4 linked regions of the Elephas maximus indicus genome follow. The protein of the gene in region 3 interacts with the protein of the main gene of each other region in a biochemical or structural test. Links are inferred from orthologs where the notes say so. Each region holds a gene or a part of one and is shown on either strand. Other genes may lie near its edges.

Region 1 (7,957 bases), on a different chromosome or scaffold from region 3:
GAACAGTTGAGCTTAACTTCCAATATTAAATAACTCTTGCCTGTCACACTTGTCAAAGTGTTCAAGAATAGAGACTCTACATAATTTCTTTATCGTTTTACCCACCTCTAAAACAAAACCTAATTAATACTAACAAACACCTTAAATCAGTCATATTAAGTGGCTGACTCCACCGACTGTTTTGCAGTCAAGGAATACTTCTATTCTCTGAAAATTAAATAAAGCCCAATTTTCTTACTACATAAGGCAAGTACGTTTAGTCATGGGGGAAATTTTTGGAGTTGCCTTCAGATTTCCTTCACTACATCAAAAAAAAAAAAAAAAAAACCCATTGCTGTAGAGTCGATTCCAACTCATAGGACCTATCATTACTACTTAATTCAAATGGCACGAACTAGGTTTCAGCAGCAGCTAAACTATTCGAACTGAACATGGTTAATGACTTAGGTACCCTAACTTTGGTTAAAATTAAGTTATTTTTGCCTCTTGATTAATTTATATATTAAGACTTCTTTTTTTTTTTTTTTTAGCTGAAAACCTTGTAAGGTGAACCTAATAAATTATAAATGCCTCATAATCTTACCTCTAATCTAGTTAATTGCTATGTATACTTGCTTAATGGTACCCAGAACCAAACAACAGTATCTAACATCCAGGAATTCTTTTTGGAGATATTCAAATTTTGCCTTCCTTCCTGGCAAAACTCAAGATTTGGCTTTAGGCAAAAGAGCAAGGCTATGTCACCTAGGCAACTGTGTACCAGGGTCTGAGAAAGACTGGATATGCCCCCTTCCTGGCTACATAAGTATGTTCAAGAAGAATGAAAAAAGGAGATTAGATACCTACAAAGAAAACTCTTAGTCATCTTTTTGTTTTCCCAAATCTTCAAACAAAAGCATTTGACTATGAAGCCTAAAAACGGAACTATGGCATAAAAATCTAGGTGTTCGTACTCATTTATTGCAGTGGGACCCAGTGCTAATTTAGTAGCTATATATCATACTCTTTCACATACAGAATAAAGCAGTGTCAACCACCATCCTAGTCAAAGGTTTAAAGTCATTTTCATGGAAATCCATAGCTACTCTGAGGATTTCTGGAGAATGACTGTCACATGTTTACGCAACCTTTAGAATCAAGAAGCAAGGCAGTTATTTAATACTGTTTATTAAATGTTCTGTGCAATCGCAGGAAGTGTTTTGAAAGAAGCCTCTGGCTTCAAACGAACTTTTGGTTTTCTGTAACCAAAAAAACAAAAAAAAGATGCTGAGCCCAAAGCTGATTAAGTACCTTTCTCTGAGGGATTGATATGCTTTTTTTTTTTTTTAATTTGAGCAGTGAAGTTTGTTCTTAAATAAATGAATATATGGGTTTTAATTCTACAATCCTTTCTTCAAAGTAATAGGCTTTAAAAGGAAAGAACACTAAACTAGACCTGTGTACCCCCACTCTGGTGCCAGCTAGGTAATCACGCCCTCCATGGGCCTCAGTTTATGATGTGTGAAAGGCCAGTTCAAAGGTGTCCTCCAACCTTAAGCATGCTCCCATTCACACGCTCTATTGCAGGCTGAGCTTAATTCTTAACACCAATCATGACCCAACAGCGTAGTTTTGGCTACCATTTCCTTAATTCTTAACTGAGCTTAATTCTTAACACCAATCATGACCGAACAGCGTAGTTTTGGCTACCATTTCCTTATTTAAAATTTCCCCAAAGTTCCATAATTAATATCTTTTTAAATGGCCACAAGTATAATACCACGTTTTCTCCATTCAGGGTCACGCATCGGCAGTCGTCTCACTCACCACACCAGCCAGAGCTCAGTTTTTCATAAATTAGAGGGAGGGGAATGTGTACTCCCTCAAAAAGAAAGACTCTCTTGCTCCAAAATGACAACTGAAAGCAAATGCTAACGAAACAACGTCTCTGAAGGGGTAAGGGGCATTGGTTTAGGAACCGTGATAGTAGTATCGGCTTTTCCCCCAAATCTTCATCTAGGTGACCTAACGGTTGAATAAGGACAGGATGTTTGAGGAACGGAGAGTTTCACTCCCAGAAAAGTGTCCTACGCACGATGGAAATGTTCTGAAACCTGGTTTCTCCTGTAGCGCTTGTCACTAACTAGGAGTGTAACTTTGGGTAAGTTATTCACTCACTCTGAACTTCAGTTCTCATCTGTGAAATGTTAAAGCTGAACTTGAGGAGGTGGCCTCTCCCAAAGCAGCCATTCCTTTCCTGGTGTATTACAGGCTTGTCAATACTCAGAGTTAAAACTTCTGAAAAAGCCTCTACGGCTTCCCCACCTTCTGTCACCTGAGACAATCCTGGAGTAGAGGACGTCTTTACATCTTTTAAAATTGAGGGCTTCCCGCTGACTTAGCAGAGGCATCTAATCAGGGTTATTTATTTATTCATTTATTTATTTTATCCTGCTTTTAAATTTCTCAACTACTACTGCTCGTTCCATTGTCCTGATCCCACCAGAGTCCACCTAACCATTGTCGCATTTTTTTATTTGGCTTAGCCTCTTTCTTCTCCTAAACGCACACTGGCAAGATCAGGCAGAGGAGAAAGAAAAAAAGAGAGGAAATGAGCAAGTTTCCCTGCTCCCGACGGACGGAATCTTCGCGAAGGCCCTTCCTGGCGCGGCCGCTCCCTTACCCGCGATGTCCCACAGCTGCAGCCGCACCAGCGTCTTGCTGTCCCAGTTGAGGACCTTGAGAGCGAAGTCCACCCCGATGGTGGCCCGGTAGTGCTGGGAGAAGAGCTGGTGGACGTAGCGCTTGATGATGCTGGTCTTGCCCACGCCGAGCTCGCCGATGACCAGCACCTTGAAGAGGTGCTCGCGGGTCTCGGGCACCGCGTCGGCAGCCGCCCCCCGGCCCAGGTCCCGGCCTCCCCCGCCCGCCATGGGCAAGGCCGGGCCGCGGCTGTCGGCGAGCCCCTTCCCCGAGCCGGCCCCTAGCTCCGGCTGGCCACAGAAACTCCCCCGAGGCCCGCCCGCCCGCCCGGCCGGCCGACCGACCGACACCGCCTGACCGGTCACAGGACCCGGAACCTCCAGTCACAGGAGCCCGCGCGGGGCGGGGAAAGGGCCGGGGCCGGCCGGGGGAGGGCCCGGGGTCGGGGGAGGGCCCGGGGGCCGCTCCCCACTCCCTGCATTCCCCCGGGCTCGGCCCCGACTTCAGCCACTTCCTCCCGTCTCGGCCCTTCCTCGCCCTGTGGCGGCGCCGAGCCCCGGCCGCCCCCTGCTGGGCCCCAGAGGAACAGAGGAGCCCGGAGCCCCGCGCTGCCCGGGGCCGGCGGAGGGGAACGGCGCCCAAGCGTTCCCCGTTTGCGGGCAGCGGTGCTGAGGCGGCCAAGCCACCGGGGAACCGCCGGCGTGAGCGCAGAGCACGCTGAGGCTGGCCAGATGCAGCCCAGCCTTGCTGAAGGCGCTGGCCTAGGAAGAAACTTCCTTCCCCGACTGTACAAAAAACTGCTGGCCAACTCATAGCGTTCGGAGACATAGCGACCATGCCATACGGAATAGAACTGCCCCATAGGGTTTCCAAGGAGCGGCTGGTGGATTCCAACTGCCCACCTTTTGGTTAGCGGCCGAACTCTTAACCATTATTAACCAGAGCTCCTGTCCAGAGGGAATTCAGCACGTGGAGGTCATGGTCTTTGGCCTCTAGCAGTCTGCTTTGGAAAACATGGAAGGAAGTGGCAGAAAGATCCCGAAGTAAACAAAAGACTGATAAAGATTTACTATCTAAATGAAGGAAGAATGAGTCCCAATAGAGAGACAAGGGTCTTTAGAGCTATCTGTTGACTTGAGTTTTTATTTTCCTTTCCCAGAAAGTCTTTTTTAAGTCTTCCGATGAGTTTAAAATAGATGTAAAAACTCTGAGTTATATCCTGGGAAAGGATGAAAAATGCTAGTATTGTGGACTTTTATTTTGAAGAAAGATAGGAAGCCTTACCTTGCTTGCTGTGTTTATAAAATTGAGGGACACCCCCTACACCCGCTCTTATATTTAGAAACACCTGGAGCTGATATCCTCTGGTAGCTTCTTTAAATAAAGTGGTGGCTTATCCTGCTGTCCTCACTATAATTGACAGCCATTGAAAGATGTTTTTTCAGAGGTGGAGGCGTTTTAAAATTTAGAAGTCAAAGTGGGAGTAAAACCTTTTCTAGAATAACTATTGAAAAATAACGGAGCTGCTCTTAGCAAGTTTTATGGCCAACCAGCCATGTGGCCTCTGTGTTCACCCACTTAGAGAGCCCTTCCAATATCATCTCCAACTTTGAAAAAGAGGAATCTCCAGTTCTTACCTTTTGCGCAGCGTATTGTTCCGTATATACATATTACTGTAGATTTTTGTCAGTTCCTGCTTTCCCTAACTCTCCTAGATTTTCACTGACATTAGAAATAGAATTATGGTGCTAAAAATCATACGAGGTGATTTAAAATTGGAAATGGTCATAGCTAAACGCAGGATAGTAATTTGGATCAGTGGTTCTTAAACTTGAGGGTACACCAAGGGTTTGCTCTAACAGCTTACAAACTGACCCCAGAGGGATTCCGATTCAGAAGACCTGGGACACAGGCAGAGAATTTGCATTTCTGACAAGTTCTTAAGTGATGCTGGTGCTTAGGTCTGGGGCCACACTACCCTGGATCAATGCTTGCTATTCAAGCTTAACAGCACATATGAATCACCTAAAATCTTGTTAAAGTGCAGATTCTGATTCAGTATATCTAGGATAGGGGCCTGAAATTCAGAATTCCTAACAAATTCCTAGGTGGTGCCAGTACAGTTGGTGGATCGTATGTTGAGTAGCAGGAGTTTAGATTAGATTTCAGCAGCTCCCATGTCTGCTGTGTACCTGACTAACCTGGAAAACTAGCTACCTAATTAACAAGACCTTCTGTTTCAGATCTTTTAGAGGGAGAGTCCAGGAATCTGCATTACACACACACACGCACACACACACACACACCACTCCTAGGTAAGTATGATGTACACACGTTGTTGTTGTTGTTATTAGGTGCCATCGAGTTGGTTCGGACTCATAGCAACCCTACGCACAACAGAACGAAACACTGCCCGGTCCTGAGCCATCCTTACAATCGTTATGCTTGAGCTCATTGCTGCAGCCACCGTGTCAATCCACCTCGTCAAGGGTCTTCCTCTTTTCTGCTGACCCTGTACTCTGCCAAGCATGACGTCCTTCTCCAGGGACTTATCCCTCCTGACAACATGTCCAAAGTATATAAGACGCAGTTTCGCCATCCTTGCCTCTAAGGAGCATTCTGGATGTACTTCTTCCCAGACAGATTTATTAGTTCTTTTGGCAGTCCATGGATATTCAATATGCTTCACCAACACCACAATTCAAAGGCATCAACTCTTCTTTGGTCTTCCTTATTCCTTGTCCAGCTTTCACATGCATATGATGTGAGTGAAAATACCATGGCTTGGGTCAGGCGCACCTTAGTCTTCAGGGTGACGTCTTTGCTCTTCAACACTTTGAAGAGGTCCTTTGCAGCAGATTTGCCCAATGCAATGTGTCTTTTGATTTCTTGACTGCTGCTTCCATGGCTATTGATTGTGGATCCAAGTAAAATGAAATCCTTGACAACTTCAATCTTTTCTCCATTTATCATGATGTTGCTCATTGGTCCAGTTGTGAGGATTTTTGTTTTCTTTATGTTGAGGTGTAATCCATACTGAAGGCTGTGGTCTTTGAGCTTCGTCAATAAGTGCTTCAGGTCCTCTTCACTTTGAGCAAGCAAGGTTGTGTCATCTGCATAAGGCAGGTTGTTAATGAGTCTTCCTCCAATCCTGATGCCCTGTTCTTCTTCATATAGTCCAGCTTCTCGTATTATTTGCTCAGCATACAGATTAAATAGGTATGGTGAAAGAATACAACCCTGACACACACATTTCCTGACTTTAAACCAATCAGTATGTCCTTGTTCTGTCCAAACAACTGCCTCTTGATCTATGTAAAGGTTCCTCATGAGCACAATTAAGTGTTCTGGAATTCCCATTTTTCGCAATGTTATCCATAATTTGTTATGATCCACACAGTCGAATGCCTTTGCATAGTCAATAAAACACAAGTAAACACCCTTCTGTTATTCTCTGCTTTCAGCCAGGATCCATCTGACATCAGCAATGATATCCCTGGCTCCATGTCCTCTTCTGAAACCAGCCTGAATTTCTGGCAGTTCCCTGTCGATATACTGCTGCAGCCACTTTTGAATGATCTTCAGCAAGATTTTGCTTGCGTGTGATATTAATGATTAAAAAAAAAATATTGTTCTATAATTTCCACATTTGGTTGGATCACCTTTCTTGGGGATAGGCATAAATATGGATCTCTTCCAGTCAGTTGGCCAGGAAGCCGTCTTCCATATTTCTTGGCATAGACGAGTGAGCATCTCCAGCACTGCATCTGTTTGTTGAAACATCTCAATTGATATTCCATCAATTCCTGGAGCCTTGTTTTTTGCCAATGCCTTCAGAGCAGCTTGGACTTCTTCCTTCAGTACCATTGGTTGCTGATCATATGTCACCTCTTGAAATAGTTGAATATCGACTAATTCTTTTTGGTATAATGACTCTGTGTATTCCTTCCATCTTCTTTTGATGCTTCCTGAGTTATTTAATATTTTCCCCATGGACTCCTTCACTATTGCAACTTAAGGCTTGAATTTTTTCTTCTGTTCTTTCAGCTTGAGAAACGCCGAGTGTTCCTCCCTTTTGGTTTTCCATTTCCAGCTCTTTGCATATGTCATTGTAATACTTTACTTTGTCTTCTCGAGCCACCCTTTGAAATTTTCTGTTCAGTTCTTTTACTTCATCAATTCTTCCTTTTGCTTTAGCTGCTCGATGCTCAAGAGCAAGTTTCAGAGTCTTCTCTGACATCCATCTTGGTCTTTTCTTTCTTTCCTATCTTTTCAGTGACCTCTTGCTTTCTTCATGGATGATGTCCTTGATGTCATTCCACAGCTTGTCTGGTCTTCAGTCACTAGTGTTCAATGCATCAAAACTATTCTTGAGATGGTCTGTAAATTCAGGTGGGATATACTCAAGGTCATATTTTGGCTCTTGTGGACTTGCTCTGATTTTCTTCAGTTTCAGCTTGAACTTGCATATGAGCAATTGATGGTCTGTTCCACAGTCTGCCCCTGGCCTTGTTCTGACAGATGATATTGAGCTTTTCCACCATCTCTTTCCACAGATGTAGTCATTTTGATTTCTGTGTGTTCCATCTGGTGAAATCCACGTATATAGTCGCCGTTTATGTTGGTGAAAGAAGGTATTTACAATGAAGTTCTTGGTCTTGCAAAATTCTATTATTCGATCTCCAGCATTGTTTCTATCACCAAGGCCATATTTTCCAACTGCTGATCCTTCTTCTTTGTTCCCAACTTTCACATTCTAATCACCAGTAATTATGAATGCATCTTGATTGCATGTTTGATCAATTTCAGACTATAGCAGCTGATAAAAATCTTCTATTTCTTCATCTTTGGCCCTAGTGGTTGGTGCGTAAATTTGAATAATAGTTGTATTAACTGGTCTTCCTTGTAGACATATGGATATTATCCTATCACTGACAGCGTTGTACTTTAGGATAGATCTTGAAGCGTTCTTTTTCACGATGAATGCAACACCATTCCTCTTCGAGCTGTCATTCCCAGCACAGTAAACTATATGATTGTCTGATTCAAAATGGCCAGTACCAGTCCATTTCAGCTCACTAATGCCTAGGATATCAATGTTCATGTGTTCCATTTCATTTTTGGTGATTTCCAATTTTCCTAGATTCATACTTCATACATTCCAGGTTCTGATTATTAATGGATGTTTGTAGCTGTTTCTTCTCATTTCGAGTCGTGCCACACCAGCAAATGAAGGTCCCGAAAGCTTTACTCAATCCACGTCTTTAAGGTCAAC
Region 2 (7,195 bases), on a different chromosome or scaffold from region 3:
ACCAGATCTGTCTAATTCTAAAACCCAAACTCTTCACACTCTACTTCATTTTCATTCAAGCAACATTGTCTCTATTCCGGACTACTACAACATTTACTTTTTTTATAAAACATTCTCAGATTACTAAAAAAAAAAGGTGTTAACTTTTCTCCTTTATCAGTCTCTAATCTATATGTCTCAACTGACTTTACCTCAGTATTTAAAAATAAAATTAACTTTCGTATATAAAGATGAGTACAAGAATAAAGGCATTTGGAGCTGTCGAATCTGTTTTAAACTGATAATGTATTTTCTGCACCCTTCTCCCATACTATCAATTTACACATCCTTAACTCAAGTCCAGGCTAGGCTTAGATCTTTTAGTGACTTGTCCCCAGCCCTCATGCCCTCCAAGTGGTTAAGTGGTTGATTTTATTATTAAAATGCAGGTCACTAGACCGAAAATAATAATAAATCTGCTTACCAAAGTAAGTACAGAGCTACCTCCATTACTTTTCAAAGGACAGACAAAACAAACATCTCACAAGTTTGAAACTCCTGCCCAAAAAAAGGTTAGAGAGACCATGAAAAAAATTGTTTTTCTATCCCTGAAATAAATTTACCAATATAGAATGTGACGGAACTTTTCTAATCTCGACTGGGTTTTTTGTCCATTCACAAAAGGACAGCTCCTAAGTTTTTCACATTTTCTCCAAGTTTGGGCAGAACGCCTCTGCCTATTTATAACTGGAAAATTCCCTTTAAATGACCTGTAATATATTATCTGATTTGGTTTAATTTTTTGGACAATAAGCTTCTGGAATTTAAAAAAAAAGTACGTACGTGTATACGTATATGTATCTGTATCTATAAACCCATTGCTGTCAATTACAACTCCTAGCAACCCTATATATATATATATATATATATATATATATATATATATTTATACACACATACACACATAAGTGTGTACACACACATACATTTAGAGAGAGACCTTCTTCCACTCATGAAACCCTCGTAGTGTAGTGATTAAGAGCTATGGCTGCTAACCAAAAGGTCGGCAGTTGGAATCCACCAGGCACTCCTTGGAAACCCCATGGGGCAGTTCTACTCTGTCCTCTAGGGTCACTATGAGTCGGAATCGACGCGAAGGCAGTGGGTTTAAGGGCAAAGGAGTATTTCTTCAGCTTCTAGACTTCCCCTGGGAGTTCAGAGGATAGAGAATTTCTCATTGCTGTTCTGGATTTTAAACAAGTACTATATCCTAAACAACTGGGAAATATCACTGGCCTCGGAGTATGACTACGTACTTATCAACAGTGCAGTTATTAACTGCAGTTAACAGTGCAGACAGAAGTATAGTATATACACTAGTCACTGGTTACTAACTCAGCTTGGGAACTCACTTCTTCCAATTCCCTTACACCCTTCCCCCCCTTTTTTAACTGTGATGAATATATAACAAAACATCTATTTCAACATTTCTTACATGCTGTGACTTTTACAAACATCATGTTGTTCAACTATCACTACTATCCGTTTCCAAATTTTTCCATACACTCTGACCTCTCATAAATTACTGTTATTCACAACTACAGTTAATCATGACATTCACTGCCAATTTTGAGGTTACCCTTTTGCCTCAAGGAACACCGTATGAATAACCAGGGTACTATTTGCAATAACGCGACTGCGTACTCAGAAAAGGTCATTAAATTGCGCTACACTATTTTAACTGACACCAATCACGCTAGGCAGTATGCTGCCCTTTACTCTAAAATCATAAACAAGACATTAAAACGAAGCCATCTTTGCATTACTGAGAACCCTATTCTGAGTACTTTGTATTTTCTCATTTTCAGACTATCAAAACACTCCTAGCAAAGTGGGAAGAAGCTAAGGGGAAAACTTTAGAATTTTCCAAGGGACTGAATAATTACGAAGCTGAAAAGAAAACAGAATTTTTAACTCCAGTTTGCACTAAGACCGCTAGATAAGGATCTCCGCAGTATTGCTCATTCTGAAATTCCTGAACATCTTAAGACACACCACTTCGTTTAATAAGGTTTAAGAAGAGAGGGAAAACAGAAGAAATGCCACGTTCTATCAGTGTAGTGGTTTAGATTTTACTGTCATTGTCATTTTGCCATAGTTTTTAAAAAACGAGTTACAACTACATATTTTTATAAATCAGCTTTGTAGATCCCTGGAATAACAAGATACACAATCCATTTGGAATACTGGATAAACCCAAACCCTCTGCCTTCAAGTCAAATTCCGACTCATAGCGACATGTTCGGAGAGAACCGAACTGCCTCACTGGGTTTTCAGGGCTGTAAATCTTATGGGAAGCAGACTCCCAGAGCTTTCTCCCCAGGAGCGGCTGGTGGGTTCGAACCGATGACCTTTAGGTTAGCAGCCCAGCGCTTAACCACCGTATCTCCAGGACTCCTTGGAATACTGGATAACTAGCGTTTAAGCGATTAACAGTTTAGGAAAGGATTTTACAGCCAATCCAAATATGAGTTCTCTGAAGAGCTGCTTGACGCCTTCCGTTTCTGTCACAAGATTTGGGCTGTGCCTGGTTCCAAGGCTCAAGGAGCCTGACAGTAAGGATGATGTTTGGGGACAAACTGCAATGTCCTCCTGCATTTGCTCCTGTACTCGCACCAGCAACACAAACCAGCACGTACCGGGAGTACCCGGCTCTGACGACACACCGGGGATGGAAACTGAACCTGCCATCCCAAGAGGTGGCAGCTGCAACGCCACAGCCCGGATCCCAGGTTCGCCCGGATCCCAGGTTCATCCGTCTCAAGCCCCGAGGACCACCTCAGGCTTCCTCCGCGCCGCTCCTCCCGCCCTCCTCCCACCACCGTTCGAAGGCGCAGCTGTCCGGCGGCCCCGAACCCGAAGCCCGGGCGGCCGGGCTAGGGCGCCTGAGCCGGGCCGCCCATCCATCCTAGCCCCACACATCGCCGCCTCCCCTGCCAACGCGCTGCTTACGCCGCGGTGGGGTCCGCGTCCGGCTCACCTGGGGGCCGCAGCCTTAGCAGCTCACAGGCATGTCACCGGCCCGCAACGACCAGCCGCGCGAGCGGGGCGAACAGGCAGGCGCCCCTCCCGCACCGGACCCCAGCCCTCCCCCCTCCCCACCCGCGGCCCTCCCCGCCCTGCCCACCCCCTCGCCTTCCGCCCACCCCCTCGCCTTCCGCCGCAGCAGTTCTAGCCCGCGACACTGCCTACTCCCCACGCCTCCCACTCACTCTCGCGAGAGGGTGGTGCGCCTCTCGCGAGAGCAACTGTGGCCAAGCCCGCGCAAAAGTGGGTGGGCTTTAAAAAAGGAAAGGAGCAACAAGGAAAAGCCTTCCCACGTGCTCGTAGACAGCTCCGGATCGGCCCCACCGTTCACGTGACGCCCAGGCGTTCTCCCCATTGGCCGGAACCCGTTCGGCCGTGGGGGCTTTAACTCGAGGCCGACCTACGAACCAGCGCCGGACGTCTTGCGCGCTTCCTGATGTGTTGCCCTGGAAACGGTTTAACCCTTTCTTCTGGGAGCATAACCACGCCTCGGCTAGCTCCGCAGGTCTGGTTTCAGGCCCTGCCTCTTTTCCCTTCGACCCCATAGTCTTACCGCCTGAGGCCAGCTGGACTTTTTCTTCGCCTCAAGGCCCGCTTTGCTTTCTTCTGAAGCTCTGAGCCCTTCCCAAGGCAGCAGCCCCACCAGATCTGACGGGCCTTACTTGGCCCATCCTTTCGGGATGACTCCGCCCCTTCTCCCTGCATCTCTGGGGAGGACCACTCACAGCACATCAGGCCCTCGGCCCTCTCCGCGCCGCAGGAATTAGCATCAAGGGCTCCCAGGCCCTAATGCTCACCTCTTCGGTTTTACGTGGTTTGGGAAGCGGAAAGGAAAGCTTTGGCTCGGAGAAGCCTAGCACGAGATGAAAAGCTAGGGCGCTGATTATGTCCACTTAGAAGCGGCAGGGCCGGTCAGGTTGCGCTGTCTGGGGCGCCTGTTCCTCAAGGGTGAAAATACCAGATAAGATGAGAAAGACGTGTTTAAGTGTATCCTCCTTGAGTCAAATGCTGCCCTGTTTGGAGGACAGGGCCGGGGGAGATGCATTCATATGTACATTCTTCAACAGATTTTTGTTGAGCTCCTGCATTTATTTTAGGCACTACTCTAGGCTGTCGACTGAGCATCGATGAAGATAAATAGTGTACGTTCCAGGGAGCTTACGGGGGTGTCGGGGATACTTGACGTTTTGCTCTGCGCGAAGAGCAGTTTGGTGATGTGACGGTGATTGTGATTGGGTGGCTATTTCAGGTAAGGCCCTTCAGGAAGGAGACAGTTAAGCAGCGATTTAAGTAACCGTGATGCAAAAATCGGAGGGAAGGGCATTCCAGGCACAGGAAACCGGTAACACCAAGGTCCAAAACTGGGACTTATTCTGGTGCGTTCAAGGGAGGGGGGAAAAAAAAAAAGAATGGAAGAGGAAATGAGTTTGGGGATATAAACAAACATGGACCAGATCCTGTACGGCTTTGTAAGCCCAGAAAGTAAAGAGAGTTTATTCTAAGTGCAATGGAAAGCACTGGAGGGTTTTATGTAGGGGAGCGACACGTATGGTTTACGTTTTTTAAAAAAAACTCTTCCCTGCAGAGAATGGACGTTAAGGAGGCCAAAGCGAAAGCAGGGAGATCAATTAAGAGACATGTAGTACAGGTGAGAAACAATCGGTAAAGACTTAATTTCCAATGACCTTGCCATTGTCTCCTAAAATCTATTAGGTCAGAACTCTGGTGTTTGCCACCTTTGTTAAAAATACCTGGATAAATCATGACGTATTGCTATTTAAGGAAGCCCTGGCCTTTTTTTTTTCTCTGGTGGTGGAGTGGTTAAGTGCTAGCTACTAACCTGAAGGTTTATGGTTGGAACCCACCAGCCACTTTGCAAGATAAAGATGTGGCAGTCAGCTTCCGAAAAGATTACAGTCTTCGAAACCTGATGGGGCACTTCTGCTCTGTCCTGTAAGGTCGCTAGGAGTCAGAATTGCCTCTACTGCAACAGGTTTGGTTTTTTAGTTTGGTATTGCTGTTTAATTACAGAAAGATAAGTGGGAGTTTTTTTTATTGGGAAATGAATGGCCCAAAAGGAAGGGCCACATTTTTCCCTTGGTTTCTTCCTTCCATTTATACCACATAGATAACCACGTCTTCTGTCCATACTTAAAATCAGTTCTGAGAAAAAGTAACATAAAGTGAGGTCCAATGTAGATGGCTGTTCCTAAGTGTAAGGTTTGAGAATATTGGAGGCTGAAGGCTGGAAAATCATGAGGGTGTTTCACTACAAGACAGAAATCGGGAGACTTGAATTCCAGCTCCAGGCCGGTCATTACCTAGTGACTCAACTAAATCAAGATACTTTATCATCACTAGATCTCAACTTCCTCATTCAGCAACCAAGGCAGTTTAACTAGCCTACACACAAAGTCGTCAAGCCTGGATTACACTTTGGCACTCTCACGCAAGTAGGACAGAAGCAGGAAAGGGAAATGAAATGAATCTTCATAAAAAACCTCACAGAGCCGGCAGCACAAACCAAATAAAATTGGACACACACGCACGCAAACACACACCCCGGCTGAGGAACTATGAAACTGATTAATACAGATACCAGGCGTGCTTCCCTAAGAAACCTTGGCCTTCTCCGAGTGTGAAAACGGAAGTATTGCCACCTGCTCAACCTCATATTCCGTTTCTCTGAAGCTATTTTAAACCAATGTATTGCTTAATAAATAATGATTCACATGTTCCTAATCAGGGCTAAAAAAATAGATAGAAAATAAATATTAAATAGGTCTGAGGCAATATCTTAAAAGAACACCTTAATTTTAATGAAACCAAAATTTCAACAAATATTGTAGGGTCACTTACTAAAAGCAAAATGATTTTCTTTGAAGATAGTATTTTAGCAAATTAAGACCATTGTTTCTGTGTCTTCTGCAGCCCTCAGTGTGATGAACTGAAACAGCTGCTTGGTACTGTAAATTTAGATGAAGGGTGGGCTCGACTGTACGTTTCTAGCTTGTGTTAGAGCTGTAAGTCCTCCCAGCTCGCTCTAGCAAGACAGCCATTGTGGTCTCCTGTGCTATAATTATTTGAAGTACAACGAATATATAAAATGAGAAGAAATTTAAGATTAATGAGTTCCATGTCTATAGATGTCCCTGGCTCCTGCATTCTTTTTGGTTTTTCTTAAGAAAAAAAAAAACAGCTTCATTGAGATATAATTCACAGGTCATACAATTCACCTATTATTTAAAGTGTAAGTCAATAGTTTTTAGTATATTCACAGAATTGTGCGACCATTACCACAATCTAAGTTTAGATCATTTTGTCCCCCATCCCCAATAGCAGTCAACTCCCTTCCTCTTCAGCCCTAAGCACTCACTGAGCTACTTTGTTGTTGACTGCATCTCTATAAATTTGCCTATTCTGGACATTTCTTATAAATGGAGTTATATAATATGTCAATCACAAATATCAGAACTTTTTTCTTTTTTTTTTTTGCTATATACTATCCCATTGTATGCATATACCATATTTTATTTATCCATTGAGCAGTCAATAGACACTCGAATTGTTTCTACTTTTTGGGTATTATGAATAATGCTGCTACGAACATTCACATACAAGTATTGTGTAGATGTTGTTTATTTTTTTTTAGTACTTTATATGTTGTTGGGTGCCATCGACTCAATTTTCAACTCATAGCGACCTCATGTGACAGAATAGAACTACCCCATAGGGTTTTCTAGGCTGAGCCCTGGTGGCACAGTGGTTAAGAGCTCAGGATGCTAACCAAAAGGTCAGCAGTTCAAATCCACCAGCTACTCCTTGGAACCCCTATGGGGCAGTTCTACTTTGTCCACTAGGGTCACTATGAGTTGGAATCAATGGAAGAGGATTTGGAATCTTTATGGGAGCAGATAGCTAGGTGTTTCTACCATGGAGCTGCTTTCTACCATGAACCACCAACATTTTGGTTAGCAGTTGAGCACTTAACCATTGTGCCACCACGGCTCCTTATAAGTCATTAAATTCATCTAGTTCACAAAGTCCATATTCTCCTAGCAGTTACTTTGTTTCTAGACTTTGTCTTTTTACGTGCTGCTTGAAGTATCTGTACTCTATTCCCAAAGGA
Region 3 (7,403 bases):
CTTGCTACACACTCCCAATTACTCTCCCCCTAATGAGACAGCCTGCTCTCTTCCTCCACTCTCTCTTTTCATTTCCATTTCGCCAGCTTCTAGCCCCCTCCACCCTCTCATCTCCCCTCCAGGCAGGAGATGCCAACATAGTCTCAAGTGTCCACCTGTTCCAAGAAGCTCACTCCTCACCAGCATCCCTCTCCAACCCATTGTCCAGTCCAATCCATGTCTGAAGAGTTGGCTTCAGGAATGGTTCTTGTCCTGGGTCAACAGGTCTGGGGGCCATGACCACTGGGGTCCTTCCAGTCTCAGTCAGACCATTAAGTCTGGTCTTAGAAGAATTTGGGGTCTGCATCTCACTGATCTCCTGCTCCCTCAGGGGTTCTCTGTCGTGTTCCCTGTCAGTGCAGTCATTGGTTGTAGCTGGGCACCATCTAGTTTTTCTGGTCTCAGGATCATGTAGTCACTGGTTCATGTGGCCCTTTCTGTCTCTTGGGCTCGCAATTGCCTTGTGTCCTTGGTGGTGTTCATTCTCCTTTGGTCCAGGTGGGTTGAGACCAACTGATGCATCTTAGATGGCTGCTTGCTAGCGTTTAAGACCCCAGATGCCACTCTTCAAAGTGGGATGCAGAATGTTTTCTTAGTAGATTTTATTATGCCAATTGACTTAGATGTCCCCTGAAACCATGGTCCCCAGACCAATGGGTGGGGATTTTTATCCTCATTTTACAGACACGGAAGCCAAGGCTCGTACAGGTAAAGTGATCTGCCAAGGCCATTGGCAAACTGGTAACAGAATGGGTGTTAGTGTCTGGGCATCCATAGGCCTGAAGAAGGCCTGTGATGCTATCAGACATTGTTATGGGCTGCTTAACCTAAGCTCCAGGAGGGCTGTGTGTACTGTGGGATCAAAGCCCAGGCACTTGGGGTAGGACACAAGTCTCAAAGGCACTGGGAAGGCCCCTGGGCTCCCTTTTATGGCTTCTCTATATGGTCAGTATGTAGGCCTCTGGCTCCCCAGCCAAGCTCCTTCATGATTCCCAGGTTCTGTCCTAGCCCTGAGGTGTGCCAGAGGCAGACCTTGGGTCCACTGCAGACTTTGACACTTTCTCAGGACACAGTATCCTAGGAAGGGGGTTGTGGCTTGCAGGTGCAGAAACAGGTGCCTTGGGAATTAACTGCTCCTGGAGCATGGATACTTGTTAAAATAGACCAGACCTCCCAGACCAAAGGCAATGGCCTCATGGGGGAGGCCCCACAAGGGCTGAAGGACAACTTGGGTGAGAGCAGACGAACATAACTCCCTTCCCCAATCCCTCCTGCCCACTGGAAGCTTCTAGGTGAAATAAAAACTGGTGGTGTTAGGTACTAAGTAATCTAAGAGGACTGGATCAGGGAAGGGCTGGCATACAGAAGTGGTCAGGTGACCAGCAGGTCCCAGGAGACATGTGGGGGGCTGGAGTGGCTAAGGGCTCCTTTGGGCAGGAAAGAGCGAGGTGTTTGTGCTGGGGTTGAGCCCCCTCGGCAGGGAGGGAGCATCAGAGAGGGCACAGGATGTGTATAAGCTGGGGGTTCTGGGCCCAGAGCAGGCCTCCCTCCAGAAGAATCCCAAAGAGTTTAGGCATACTTCCTGAGGGAGGGGGGGAACAAATCTTAATAAATCCATAAAGAGTATATGAAATCCTCTGTTTCACTGGAAAACATAGTTGTACCCTACCTGTGTTCATTTTCACTGAGTCCCATTGCTATCAGGTTAAACATGACTCTACCTGGGTTATGCTGCCTCCATGGTTACAAAATCTCTCAGAATTGGGGCCCATGTGTCCATGTCTGTGCCTGTGGCTGGTGGCGTGGCAGTTTGTGCAGATGTTGGTGGATTGGGTTGGGTGGAGCACCCCTTAGGGCTCTGAGGCTGCCTCTTCTCCACCATGGCCTCTGTATTTCTCTTGAGGATTTCAGCTCCTTGCCTTTTCCACTCACTGTCGCTTGGTGTTGGCATCTGTTTCCCAGCTACTGGCTGCCTGTGGGTTTGGTTTCCACGGTAACCCCCAGTGGTACAGCTGGACAGGCTTGAATGCAGGCAGCCCTATGAGGGTAAGAGTAGAGGAATCAGGGCTCAGGCACCCGGTGTTTGCTCCTGCTTCAGGGCTCACTTCCCTGGACAGCTCAACTGGGCATGCCTGACGGCCCTTGGGGGTCCACTTGCTACTGAAGCAATGCCTACCTAGAAGGGGCAGAGATGGACCCCTTCTCTGGGGACCAGATGCTAAGGGAGGGGAGCCAGGTTGGGCCTAGAGGCTGGCTGTCCATCCTTCCTCTGTGTATGGAGACAGGTGAGGAGCAATCTTGTGGTTCCCCACTTTCTGTAGTGGTCCTCACTCCCCCCACAGATGGAGGTGGATGGCCAAGTTGTGGGGCATCTGAGAACAAGCCAGATAGATGATGGGCCTGCTTCTGGCAGAGGCCAATGGGAGTTGTTTGGAGTGATTAGGAGGACCTACTGGAACCCAGCTCTGCTGTCAGCCCTGAAGTAGCCTCTCTCCTGCTTTCATTCACAGCCTCCCTCTCCCATTTTCTAATTAAGGTCAGAGTCCTAACTATACAGATGCCCACTCCCCTTGAAAACATATAAAAACCGACAATACGGGCAAATTACATAGCAGAATTGTGGACCTACCTTTCCAAAAGTCTGCCTGTAGGATTGCTTGACAAGGGCAGATCCCCAGGTGTGGTGGTATAGTGGGAGTCCCACCTAGGTTTCCTGGGTATCAGTCAAGGGCTGACCCTCAAGGGGACCATTTCTGCATGGAAAACTTGGGAGGGTCAGTCTCCCCAAGAGCAGGGAAGAGTTGTGGGGCCCAGCTCCTCCAGCTCCTCACTGCTCACCCTTAATGAGGTCTTCGCATTCTGAGCAGAAGCACAGCTTTGAAGCAAAGGATTCCAGTTCTAAGACTGCAGTGTTAGGAGAGCAGTTTCAGTAGCTTTGCTTGCTGTGTGGAAATGTATCATTCATTCATTCAGTAAACCTTATCCAAGAGTGTAAAATAAGAACCCAACAGAGAACAAATCAGACACTGCCCTTCTCTCACAAAGTAAATGACCTCTAAGATTCCTCCCAGGAGCCAAGGAACTTGTCCAGGGATAAACTGCTGTTTGGAATCACAGGGCTGCCTGGCCTAGAGCCTGGGCTGGCCTCTGCACCAGCAGGGATCTGGTGCTCCTGCTGCCAGGAACTCAGTTCCCAGCAGCATTCATCTGCTGAGTGTGTGCCAAGCCAGTAAGGGAGGTGCTAGTGAGAATTTTAATTAATACTGGATAATTACCAGGTGGAGCTTAGCCATTCCCAATGCCCTACAGGTTCCCAAGCCTACGGTTAGTTCCTGGCTGGGTCCTGCAAGAGAAGGAAGACTCTGTCCTAGGCCCACTGGGCCTTTGGTCGGCACCTAGGTTGTGGCATGGATATCCCAGGAAGGTCTCCACCTTTTTCTATTGCCTTCCAATCTGGTGGGAGTAAGGGCAAGTTGGGAAATAGCCTAGCCTCTCCAGTTTACCTGTGTCCCCCCACCAGGTACAAAGGATAACAGTGTCTTGTCTTTTCAACTTCATCAAGCAGTGATGGCCAAGGGCCTGGGATAGGGTGCAGAGAGGGGAGGGGTGTGCAGACCTAGACCTGGGGAGCCTGGTGGGAGTCATCAAGAGAAGGAACTGGCATAGAGGTCGCTCTTGCATTGGGCCTTATTCCCTTTTCTTACTGTTTGGCTGAGTGAGCTCTTACAGGCTTATTTCTCTGCAGGTAGGTCCCAAATTACTATCTCACTGAAACTCCTACTACCTACAAAGCCTTCCCCTTCTGACATTTCAGACTTCCTGCCAGCCTCCCGAGCGTCCTATGATCACTCCACCATTTCACCCTGAGGCCAGGGTGATCCTGACTCTTCCAGGCTTTGCTCTTACTGTTATGTGTGCTCAGATGGCTTTCTTCCAGATCTTCCTGTGACTGGATCCTGCTCAGGGCTCCGGGCAGCTTGAATGTCACCCCCTAAATTGGGCTCTTAACTCTTCAACATAGTGGGAACCACGCGCTGCGATAGTCGTGTTTGCCCCTGCTGCCTGCCCAGTAAGCAAACAAGAGGCACTTAGCGTGTGTTGAGAGCATAAATGAAAGGTCTTCATGACCGGGTGAGAGGCATTAGCCAGCGCCCAGCCTCACACGTAGACCATTCATTCCTTCATTCGCCGGTGCCCAACCGAGAGGCAGCTGCGGGAGACCTACCCCACCACGACCCTTGGCTGCCCGGGGAGGACAGCTGCCCAGCGGCGCACGCGCACTGCGGGCTGGCGCTCGGCGGGGACGCGCACGCCCGCGGCCGCGTGCGTCACAACCCGGGAGCCTGCCCCGCCCCTGCCCGCCCGCGCGTCGGTCTCCGCGGCGGCGGCGGCGGTGGCGGCCCAGTGACAGCGGCGGCGGCGGCTCCAGGCCGGGGGAGATAACGCAGGTCGCGCGGCCCGGAAACGCCGACCCGGCCGAAGCGCGGCGCGGTGTGAGGAAGGCCGGACCGGGGCCGAGCGTGAGGAGACCGTGCGGCCGCCAGGTGAGGGGCCGGCGTCAGGGAGCGCGGGAGGCAGTGGCCGCCGGCGGCCCAGACCCGCCCGTCCCCGCGGCCACCGCCGGCATGAGCCACATTCAGATCCCGCCAGGGCTCACGGAGCTGCTGCAGGGCTATACGGTGGAAGTGCTGCGGCAGCAGCCGCCCGACCTCGTCGACTTCGCGGTAGACTACTTCACCCGCCTGCGTGAGGCCCGCCGCCTGGCCCCCGTCCCGCCCGCCGCCGCCCCTACTCGCGTTTCCTACGGGCCAGAGCCCAGCCCCGAACCGGTCGCCGATGAGGAAGACGAATCGGAGGACGAAGAGGACTTGGAAGGTAGGCGGCGGGCGGGGCCGAGGTTCGCTGGGGGACGAGGGGCTGTGCAGGGGGTCGCTAGAGGGCAGAGGACCGCGGGGGGCCGGGCGTCCCGCGGGGGCCGGGCGTCCCGCCGGGGACCGGGCGTCCCGCCGGGGGCCGACCGACCGCCTGGGCAGTGACCTCAGGGGTCTGGAACGGAGTTTCTCGGGTGTCCCGGAGCCGCCAGGGTGAACCTCGCGCGCCCCAGTTCCAAATCGAGCTCCAGGGCCCTCAGAACCGTAGAGCGCACCGAAGGGTTTGTCAGATTCAGCGGTGAAGGAAACGTGCGCGCCTTCAGCCGGGTGGTGGCGCGGAGCGCACGCCGGCCTCGTCCGAGGAGCCTTCGCCTCTTCTTGAGGCCCGTCTCGTTTTGTTCTGAAGACAGGAGCACTAGCATCGGTGATTCATATTTGATTTTCTGGACGGTAACCTTGTTTGGTTATAATTAATTTTCCGAAAAACTTGCAGCATGGACAGAAGTAGAGAGAAAAAGTAAACCTCTGTATACCCATCACCCAGATTCTGCAGTTGACAGTATGGTTCATCTAGTACTTTTTCTTTTTTGCCTTTGTTGAAGTATATTAAAGCAAATTCCAGACAGATTATTTCACCCCTGCGTACTTGAGTATGTATTTTAAAATATAGGCTCTGGAAATATTCTTTATTTATGTTTTTTTAATTTGGTTAAAACAGTTGAATTTAATTTTATGAGGGTGAGCAGAATAACAGTCTCTTCTTTGCGTTTAAAAAATTTTTGATAGTTTCTGCCGTTATACAATCAGTTTTTAAAAATAAACTAAAAATCTTGATAAATGTGTGGGCTGCAGAAAAGAAAGATAACACTTTTACATCTGATTTAAGCGAGGATGTCAAGAAGCAATTCCATTTCCTTGGTTGCTTCAATATAGGCTTTATCAGTTTGACGATAGAATTATCTTACTTTTGAACAGCTAAAATTTAACATAACAATTAGGCAGGCCCATAAAACGAGACTAAATGGGCACACCAGTCCAGGGGCAAGGAAGAGAATGCAGGAGGAGACAGGAAAGCTGATAATGGGGAACCCCAGGTCGAGAAGGGGAGAGTGTTGACATGTGGGGTTGGCAACCAATCAATGTTACAAAACAATGTGTATTCATTGTTTAATGAGAAACTAGTTTGCTCTGTAAAACCTTCATCTAAAGTACAATTAAAAAAAAACAGCGGTGAAAACACTTGAGAGACAAAGTTAGAGCCTTGGAATTGAAGTTCTGCATTGTTCAGTTCTGGCCCCCCATTCCACCCACTGCTAGCAAGGAGTTGATTGCTGTAGGAGGTTGTAAGCATCAGGACAAGGTCCCTAAGTTTGTTCATGCTAAAAGAATAGAAATTACTCTTCTGTGTTTCCGTTGACTTTTTGCACATTACATTATAGGTTTTCATAATAAATCTGGAAATCAGAAGTTGTTTTCCAAATCTCTCCCACAGATTTACTTTGTGATTTTGGACAAATTGTCAAATGTGTTTCATTTTAGATTTACTTATCTTTAAAATAGGGACAGTGACAGCAGTATTCCAGGGATAGATGTGTTTTTTTAAGAGTTTTATTTTAGGAGTGACTCAGGGTTTTTTTTCACTGTCATTCTCTGTAAATCGCAAAGTTGTAACTTGTTTTGCCACAGTTTTTATTTACACAAAACATTAGAGGAATATCTTAAAAACTACCCCCTTAAGTAAAAGAGTTTCACATTTTTTGTATTATGTCTTTATTCTTTGTCATGTTTGATATCTTTTTCAAAATTGAGTTGATTTAACATGGGCTTTGGTCTTTTTGACTAACCCCCTTTTATAACATGTTTAATAAAAAGCTGAGCTCTTAAAAAAAAAAGTTGACGTAAAATCTTTGTAACACTGTGCTCTATTGCTGTTTAAATTTTTTATTTATGTCTCAAGTAGTTGCACTATGTGTAATTATAGAAATAAAAGCTATACATAAAGAAATGAATTTCTATTTATAAATAATAGATTAAAAATACATTCCACATTATTAGAGTAATAAGCCCCCACCACCTAAAATTAGATCAGATATACCCATTCTATTTATAGAACTATGTATAGCTAGGAGGCTTTGCTTAGTAAGATCCTGTATAATGGCATGACTAACCATCATTTCCATTTATAAATTGCATGCTAAATAGGAAATAATTAAGTAACTTATTAGCTGTTATTTGTTTTAGTAACAACTTAGATATCAAAGAGCATATCAAAATATGACTATTAAAATGAATATCTAACTCTTGGGAAGGCCTGAAGAATTCAGACTTATTAAGTTACTCTGATTGCATCATAAAGACAGTAAATTGGCATTCAGACTTGATTCACTTCTGAAATTACCATAAAACATTTTATGCTTGTGGTTCTCCTCAGCATTTTTTTGTAACAGCTTTTTAGAGATTTAATTCACATTCCATATAATTCCCTCATTTAAA
Region 4 (6,981 bases), on a different chromosome or scaffold from region 3:
GTAAAATTATTTATAAAATTCAGAATACTGATTATTTTTGTGAGAGAAACAGCGGATGAGATATAGGAGGGACACCAAAATCAACCATGTTGGGTATATTCTACTTGCTGAATGAATGACTATTTTATTATTTTTATATCTTCTATAGTGTATCATTTTCTAATATACATTTACCCATACCCATACCCACTGCCGTCGAGTCGATTCCAACTTATAGCGACCCTAAAGGACACCGTAGAACTGCCCCATAAGGTTTCCAAGGAGCACCTGGTAGATTCCAAATGCCGACTTTTGGTTAGCAGCTGTAGCACTTAACCACTATACCACCAGGGTTTCTAATACACATTTAATATTCTGTAATTCAAATTTCTAATCCTAAAAATAATAATAACAAGCCAACCTCCTACTTATCTTATGCAACCTGGGACCTAAAAATTTTTACTTCTCCATACTAGAGACATGGTGAGGAGGATCTTCCTCGCCTCTTCAAAAAATAATGCTCTCCAAGTTTATACAGTTACATACCACATCACGTCCATTTGGGCCACGTTCAACCTCACATACGCCTGTGGTCTCATAAGTTATAATACAACCCTATAAGACAGAGGGTTTCCAAGGAGTGCCTGGTGAATTCAAATGGCCAACCTTTTGGCTAGCAGCCGAGCTCTTAGCCACTACACCACCAGGGCTCCAAGGTTCTAACAGAGTTCAGAAATCGACATAAAAGACATAAGGAGATGTAGCAAACGCAACAGCTTGCCGCATGCAACCCGTGTATCTCATGTCTCTAGTATGTCTTAAATCTCATGTCTCAGGGGGCTGAGTGGGCAGCCGGAGAGGCGGCAGGGCTTTGTCCAGCTCCAAGCAGCTGGAGCTCACTTGAAGTCAGCAGAGAGAGAGAAGCAGTGTAGGACGATGCTGTGATGCTAGAGTACAGGGGAAGCAGCTGGTGCTTCTGGCGGTGCCCCTCAGTGCTCAGACCCACATGGCCTTGTTACACACACAGATACATGGTATTCACACAATGTCCAAATCACATAACGTCCTATTTCACAGAATATATGGTGGATGTTAAGCAACGCATGACTGTATTGCTTTTGGAGAATGGAGCACCTCAATAGTTGCTGGTTGGGCATGCTGTGACATGCACTAGCTTTGTTCTGGAATATATGGTTTTGCTTTCCCTATGCTAACACGCAATATGCACAGGCACGAAGAGCAAGTGAGCTCACCTCCCAGGTGGAGGTGATGGTGTGTGGTGACTCAAAAAACTACGTGCTGAATCCTAGACTTTTGAACAGCTGACATACTGAACCACCTGTTTTCCAACCAGCATTTATATGGTCCCGGTATGAAAGGCTCCTACAGCAAAGCTTTGAAGTATGAAAGCAGAAACATATTTGGCATATTGGTGTTGGCTTTTAACTCACAAAGAATAAAAATAGAAATGACACCATGTGAAATCTTATCTTATTCACATTCTGGGTAAAAAGGTTGTCAGAGCGAAACAAAGTACATTCATACTGATACCATATGCCCATTCCACAAGGAGTGGGGAAGCCATGGGTGGTGGGGAGTATCGGGTGGTGGGGAGTATCGGGTAATGGAAAGGACGTACAAAGAATCCGAAACCTGAAAATCAGGAGGCAAGTCCCTCCTCCCCTATTTAGCAGCTGAGTTACTTTGGCTAAGATTTTTGTTAAAGCTCAGGTTCTTGATCAATGAAGATAATGATAATACCTACCATTGAGCATTGCTGTAAAGGTAAAACAAGGTCATGTGTGTGGAAGCACAAAGTGAATTACAAAGTTCTGGTACAAATGGTGATTGTTTATATATGGGCCGATCTGAGAGACATAAAGTTCTTTCTTAAATAGCCAAAAGCCACCTAAGTGTCTGGCAAAAAGTTGGCATATATTAAATATTTGTTGAATAATAAGAAAAAAAGAGGGAGGGGAGGAGAAGGGAATCCTCATTTTGTCCGTTGGGATCATATGAAATTAGGCTAATTCCTCTCCCAGATAAACATTTATTTAGTTACAAAACTTGTTTCCTACTTTACTCCAGAAAGGATATAAGGGAGCTTACAAAGAAAACCAAAATTCACCAACAGAGCATGAATTTTAAATGGTACAGAAGAAAAGAGAATACAAGGAAGTAGACAGGAATGAGTTTTTAAAAAGGAGCAGAGGAGGGAGTCTCGGCCTGGCTATAGTGGACCACAAACAGGTTCTAAACATTACAGCTTCGAAAACAAGAAAAAAACATGGTCAGATATGTAATGACCAACATCAGGGGCATCACTGGGGAAGTGGAGGGGAGCAGACTGCACCCAGTAACACTGTCAGAGGAGGTGACAGCAAAATGACTGTCTATAAAAATACCCCTGTCGTTAGTTATAACAACAAAAACATTTTTTCTGAGCCCAGCTTACGCGTATCAATATACCTACAAGGCTAAAATTCTGTGCTAATTTACTTTTTGAACCTTCTAATACACTCCCGTCAGAGCTGCTGTCATTATTATCCAATTAAAATGACACTCAGAACCATGTGGTTTCATCTTCACGTACAACAAGCACCGCTATTGTTTTCGATGTTGTCGGCGTTTTTACAGTCACTGATCTTGTAAAATTTTCTGTTTTATCTGCATTATTGTGGTAATTAGTATCTGTGAACCTATATCAATAACTTTTTTGCGAATGAAGTAGGAGTTAACGGAAAAGAAGGAGTGATACACGGAAATTACGGTTTGTGAGTTACATTAGCACAAAAAACATTACTAAGGATTCTATATGGTCTGGTACAGGAGGATGTCCATGGAGGGAGTGACACCATGAGTTACCTCACTGGGTGACACCAACCCTAGTGATGCCATTGCCCAACATCCATAAGGTAAAAAAATAGACCAATCATTTAAGAGAAGTACTGACCTTCTTGGTGCTGAAGATGAGACTTCTCTGAAAAGGTAACTGTGGGATGAAAGCATGATGCCCTTGGCACTGCTCTTCAATAGACAAAACAAGAAGCTTCATTGAGCTCTGCCCATATGGGCCCTCAGTATAGGCTGAAGGCATCAGACCTAGGAGCAATTCAATAAAAGGAACTTTGCATGGAGCCAGGACAGTGCAACCCACCCAGCAGAGTCTCTTCAATCTGGTTTGACTCAAGGATATAGAACAGATTACTTGCAGGAGGGAATGTTCTGCATGTCCTTCAAGCAATGCACCCCAAACATCATTCACATTCCTACAAACTTCTTAGCTCTGCCAAGGGGTAGGCAAAATAAATAATGTTTAAATGACAGCAAACACAAGACTAGGTGGCCAGGAATTCTTGGCGCAACTTAGCAAGAAGGAACAGAGTTGCTAAAACAAATCTCAACTAGCTTGTCAGAGAACTAAATCAAAAACACAAGATAGAGTTTCCTGTCATGTGAGAGAGACAGCATGACAGAAATCCCTCAGCAGCTGATGAAGTTAAGAGCATTCATTCCACTTTTATTCTCCCAAGGGGGGTTGTCTAAAGTTGAAAATACACAGAGATGAATGCTCTAAAGTGCAGATTATTTACAAGCATACAACATTATGTCTGCTCAGAAAAGTCAATACATAGATTCCTTTCCTTTCCAGAAGAGGGATCTCACAGGAGTGTAACAGGCCTGGCAAAGGCACCCAGTTTTCTCATGGCTTGGTTGGCTCAGCATGTTGCTGGTCTGGCCATTCCTTGGGCATGGCCCCCTTGCTTATGTCAGATCAAGCTCAAATTGGCCAAGCATGGGCATATTATTAATTTCTGGTGGGCAGTAAATCTGCACCCTTCTGGGTCAGGTCAGCTGTCTTTAAAGGGGCATGATGAGAAAGAAAGGCAGCCCAAAGAGAGACCTCAAAAGTCATCACCGAAGAGAGGAATCGAATAATGGATCTGGACCAGGGGAAGAACTGAAAGCACATCTCTCAGGGAAGATAAGGTGGAAAAAGAATCATAATTTTAAAGAAAACTACACTAATCATTCATTGAGCACGTTTTCTCTTGTAGACACTGTACTAAATCCTCTACATCATGGCCACAGTTAATCCAAAAAAACAACTCTAGGAAGTAGATACTCTTATTACCTACACTTTACTGAGGAAGGAACCCAGGATGAGAAAAGAACCCTTTTGGCAACTGGGTGAGGGGTGCAGGAAGACAGATGGACTAACAGTGCTGTGGCTTTCCTCCAGACACGACGGCATCCCTCAGTGTGAAGCTACAAAGACAGTCAACAGAAGGTTGGTGGGGGAAGCTCTTCAGATATTTGACAACATTCACTCCTCTAAGTAGATTCTAGAGTGCTTTGAATATCACTTAGTCTCTCAGTCATGCATTCTTGATGGGAACAATAGTCCCTAGAGGGTGAACATTTGGCACTTGGGGAAGAAGAATGAAAAAAACCTTACTCTTCTATGTATAAAGCACAGATACACAAACAGTACATAAACAGATGTAAACATATCTGTGGTATTAAAATTCAGAGAAAAGTACCTTAAAAAGCTCCTTATTAAGCTGTAATGAAACAGCAGTTGAGAAATGCTGCTGTGAAGGTTTTGAAGGAGGCTGGGGGCAGGCGGGGAGAATGTTTTAATCAAAGGCTACTTTCTATAGCTTTTTTTTTTTTTTAGTCACTATTCTTGTTCTTGGCATTTAAAATAAACATTTCCAAAGGCTTGTTTCTTCCATTCTGGCCCAGACTGCAATTATTACAAATTCCAGAAAAATATTGTTTTGCTGTCTGTTTGTAATATGATCTCTCTCAAAAGAGTCAATACAATTTTCAGTTTGTGCCTCCTTGTAACACGTCATCTTGTTGTCACAGGAGCTGTGAGGTCGCGTCGGTGATTCTGAACGCTACCTTCAGTCCCCAGAATTTCCAGCTTTATCTCACAAGTTTGACATCTATAACTCATTGCTGTCGAGTCGGTTCTGACTCATAGCAACCCTACAGAACAGAATAGTTTTCAAAGGAGTGGCCGCTGGATTTGAATTGCCAAACTTTTGGTTAGCGGGCAAGCTCTTAACCACTGCTCCACCAGGGCTCCTTGACGTCTATAGGAAGGTTAAATATACTTGGCTATCTCTTTATTAGATTTGCTTTTTTTCCCCTGATATTTCAAATACAGATGAAAGGAACTTGTATGTGGTCATGCATTATGTTGACCCTCCCAGAAAGCCAAAATCCTGGTGTTAGGTCATAGTCCTATAAAGGCCATGCAGTGACCCTCCTGCTCTGGTCTGAGAGAGAACCTGGAGAAATTGACGGTTGGTATAGTTCTTAGACTGCCTGAGGTGTTTTTTAGAGATTATTTTTGGAGCAGTTTTAGGTTTACAGAAAGTACAGAGAACCCAAGAAGACATTTAGGCAGCTAACAGACACATAAAGAAATGCTTACAATCATTAGCTATTAGAGAAATGCAAATCAAAATTACAATGACATACCATCTCACCTTGACAATACTGGTACTAATCAAAAAAAGAAAATAATAAATGTTGGAGAGGTTATGGGAAGATTGGAACTCTTATGTACTGCTGATGGGAAGGTAAAATGATACAACCACTGTGGAAAATGATATGGTGCCACCTTAAAAAGCCAAAAATAGAAATAACGTATGATCCAGCAATCCCACTCCTAGGACTATACCCTACAGAAATAAGATCCATCACACAAATAGACATATGCACACTCATGTTCATTGTAGCATTATTCACAATAATAAAAAGATGGAAACAACCTAAGTGCCCATCAATAGCCAAAGGATAAACAAACTATGGTCCATACATACAACGGAATACTATGTAAAGATGGACAATAATGAATCCATGAAATGTCTCACAACATAGATGAATCTTGAGGGCATTATGCTGAGTGAAATAAGTCAGTCACAAAAAGACAGATATTGTATGAGACCACTATGATAAAAACTCAAGAAAAGGTTTACACACAGAAAAAAACAATCTTCGATGGTTATGAGTGACGGGAGAGATAGGGAGGGGAAATCACTAAACAGATAGTAGACAAGTGTCAACTTCAGTGAAGGGAAAGACAACACACAATATAGGAGAAATCAGCACAACTTGACCAAGGTAAAGTCATAGAAGCTTCCTAGACACATCCAAATACCTTGAGAGACTGAGTTGTGGGGGCTGAGGGCTGGGGGCCATTGTCTCAGGAGACATTTAGGTCAATTGTCATAACATAGTTCATAAAGAAAATGTTCTACATTGTTCTTTAGTGAATAGCCTCTGGGATCTTTAAAGCTTGTGAGTGGCCATGTAAGATACAACTATTGGTCTAATCCCTGCTGGAGCAAAGGAGAGTGAAGAAAACCAAAGGTACTAGGAAAATATTAGCCCAAAGGACTAAAAGACCACATGAACCACAGCCTCCACCAGCCTGAGCCCAGATGAACTAGATGGTGCCCAGCTACCACCACCGACCGCTCTGACAGGGATCACAATAGTCTTTGACCAGACCGAGCAGGAGAAAAATGCAGAACAAAATTCCAATTGACAAAAAAAAGACCAGACTTACTAGTTTGACAGAGATTGGAGGAACCCCCAAGACTATGGCCCCAGACAATCAGCTAACTCAGAAACGAAGCCACTTCAGAAGCCCACCTTTCAAACAGATTAGACAGGCCTGTAAAAGCTTCTTAGTTCAATGAAATATACGAGACCAAATGGGCAACTCCTGCCCAAAAGCAAGACAAGAAGGCAGGAAGGGACAAGAAAATTGGGCAAATGGACACAGGGAACCCAGGGTGGAAAGGGCCGAGTACTGCAACCAATGTTACCCTATTATTAACATCATCCCTTTCATGAGATACATCTGTTACAACTGATGAACCAATGTTGATACATTATTATTAATTATCCATAGTTTACATTAGGGTTTACTCTTTGTTTACAGTTCTATGGGTTTTGACACATACATAATGTCATGTA

Evidence for each region.
Region 1: the proteins of PRKAR2A (region 3) and RAB32 interact in a test that uses a peptide from one of them, tested with the Homo sapiens proteins (2 studies listed by BioGRID, with this or other methods). The link is inferred for Elephas maximus indicus from reciprocal best matches to the Homo sapiens genes PRKAR2A and RAB32.
Region 2: the proteins of PRKAR2A (region 3) and AKAP11 form a complex in vitro, tested with the Homo sapiens proteins (2 studies listed by BioGRID, with this or other methods). The link is inferred for Elephas maximus indicus from reciprocal best matches to the Homo sapiens genes PRKAR2A and AKAP11.
Region 4: the proteins of PRKAR2A (region 3) and PALM2AKAP2 form a complex in vitro, tested with the Homo sapiens proteins (2 studies listed by BioGRID, with this or other methods). The link is inferred for Elephas maximus indicus from reciprocal best matches to the Homo sapiens genes PRKAR2A and PALM2AKAP2.

What each region holds. Positions count from the first base shown.
Region 1 is NC_064819.1:217,462,378-217,470,334, reverse strand, and holds the start of RAB32 (ras-related protein Rab-32), read right to left. Parts: upstream 3,005-7,957; 5' UTR 2,913-3,004; coding exon 2,663-2,912; intron 1-2,662. UniProt on the Homo sapiens protein: The small GTPases Rab are key regulators of intracellular membrane trafficking, from the formation of transport vesicles to their fusion with membranes.
Region 2 is NC_064832.1:38,917,323-38,924,517, forward strand, and holds the start of AKAP11 (A-kinase anchor protein 11), read right to left. Parts: upstream 3,006-7,195; 5' UTR 2,731-3,005; coding exon 2,679-2,730; intron 1-2,678. UniProt on the Homo sapiens protein: Binds to type II regulatory subunits of protein kinase A and anchors/targets them.
Region 3 is NC_064838.1:53,375,271-53,382,673, reverse strand, and holds the start of PRKAR2A (cAMP-dependent protein kinase type II-alpha regulatory subunit), read left to right. Parts: upstream 1-4,387; 5' UTR 4,388-4,664; coding exon 4,665-4,914; intron 4,915-7,403. UniProt on the Homo sapiens protein: Regulatory subunit of the cAMP-dependent protein kinases involved in cAMP signaling in cells. Type II regulatory chains mediate membrane association by binding to anchoring proteins, including the MAP2 kinase.
Region 4 is NC_064827.1:59,082,667-59,089,647, reverse strand, and holds the start of PALM2AKAP2 (A-kinase anchor protein 2), read right to left. Parts: upstream 3,004-6,981; 5' UTR 2,989-3,003; coding exon 2,933-2,988; intron 1-2,932. UniProt on the Homo sapiens protein: Binds to regulatory subunit (RII) of protein kinase A. May be involved in establishing polarity in signaling systems or in integrating PKA-RII isoforms with downstream effectors to capture, amplify and focus diffuse, trans-cellular signals carried by cAMP.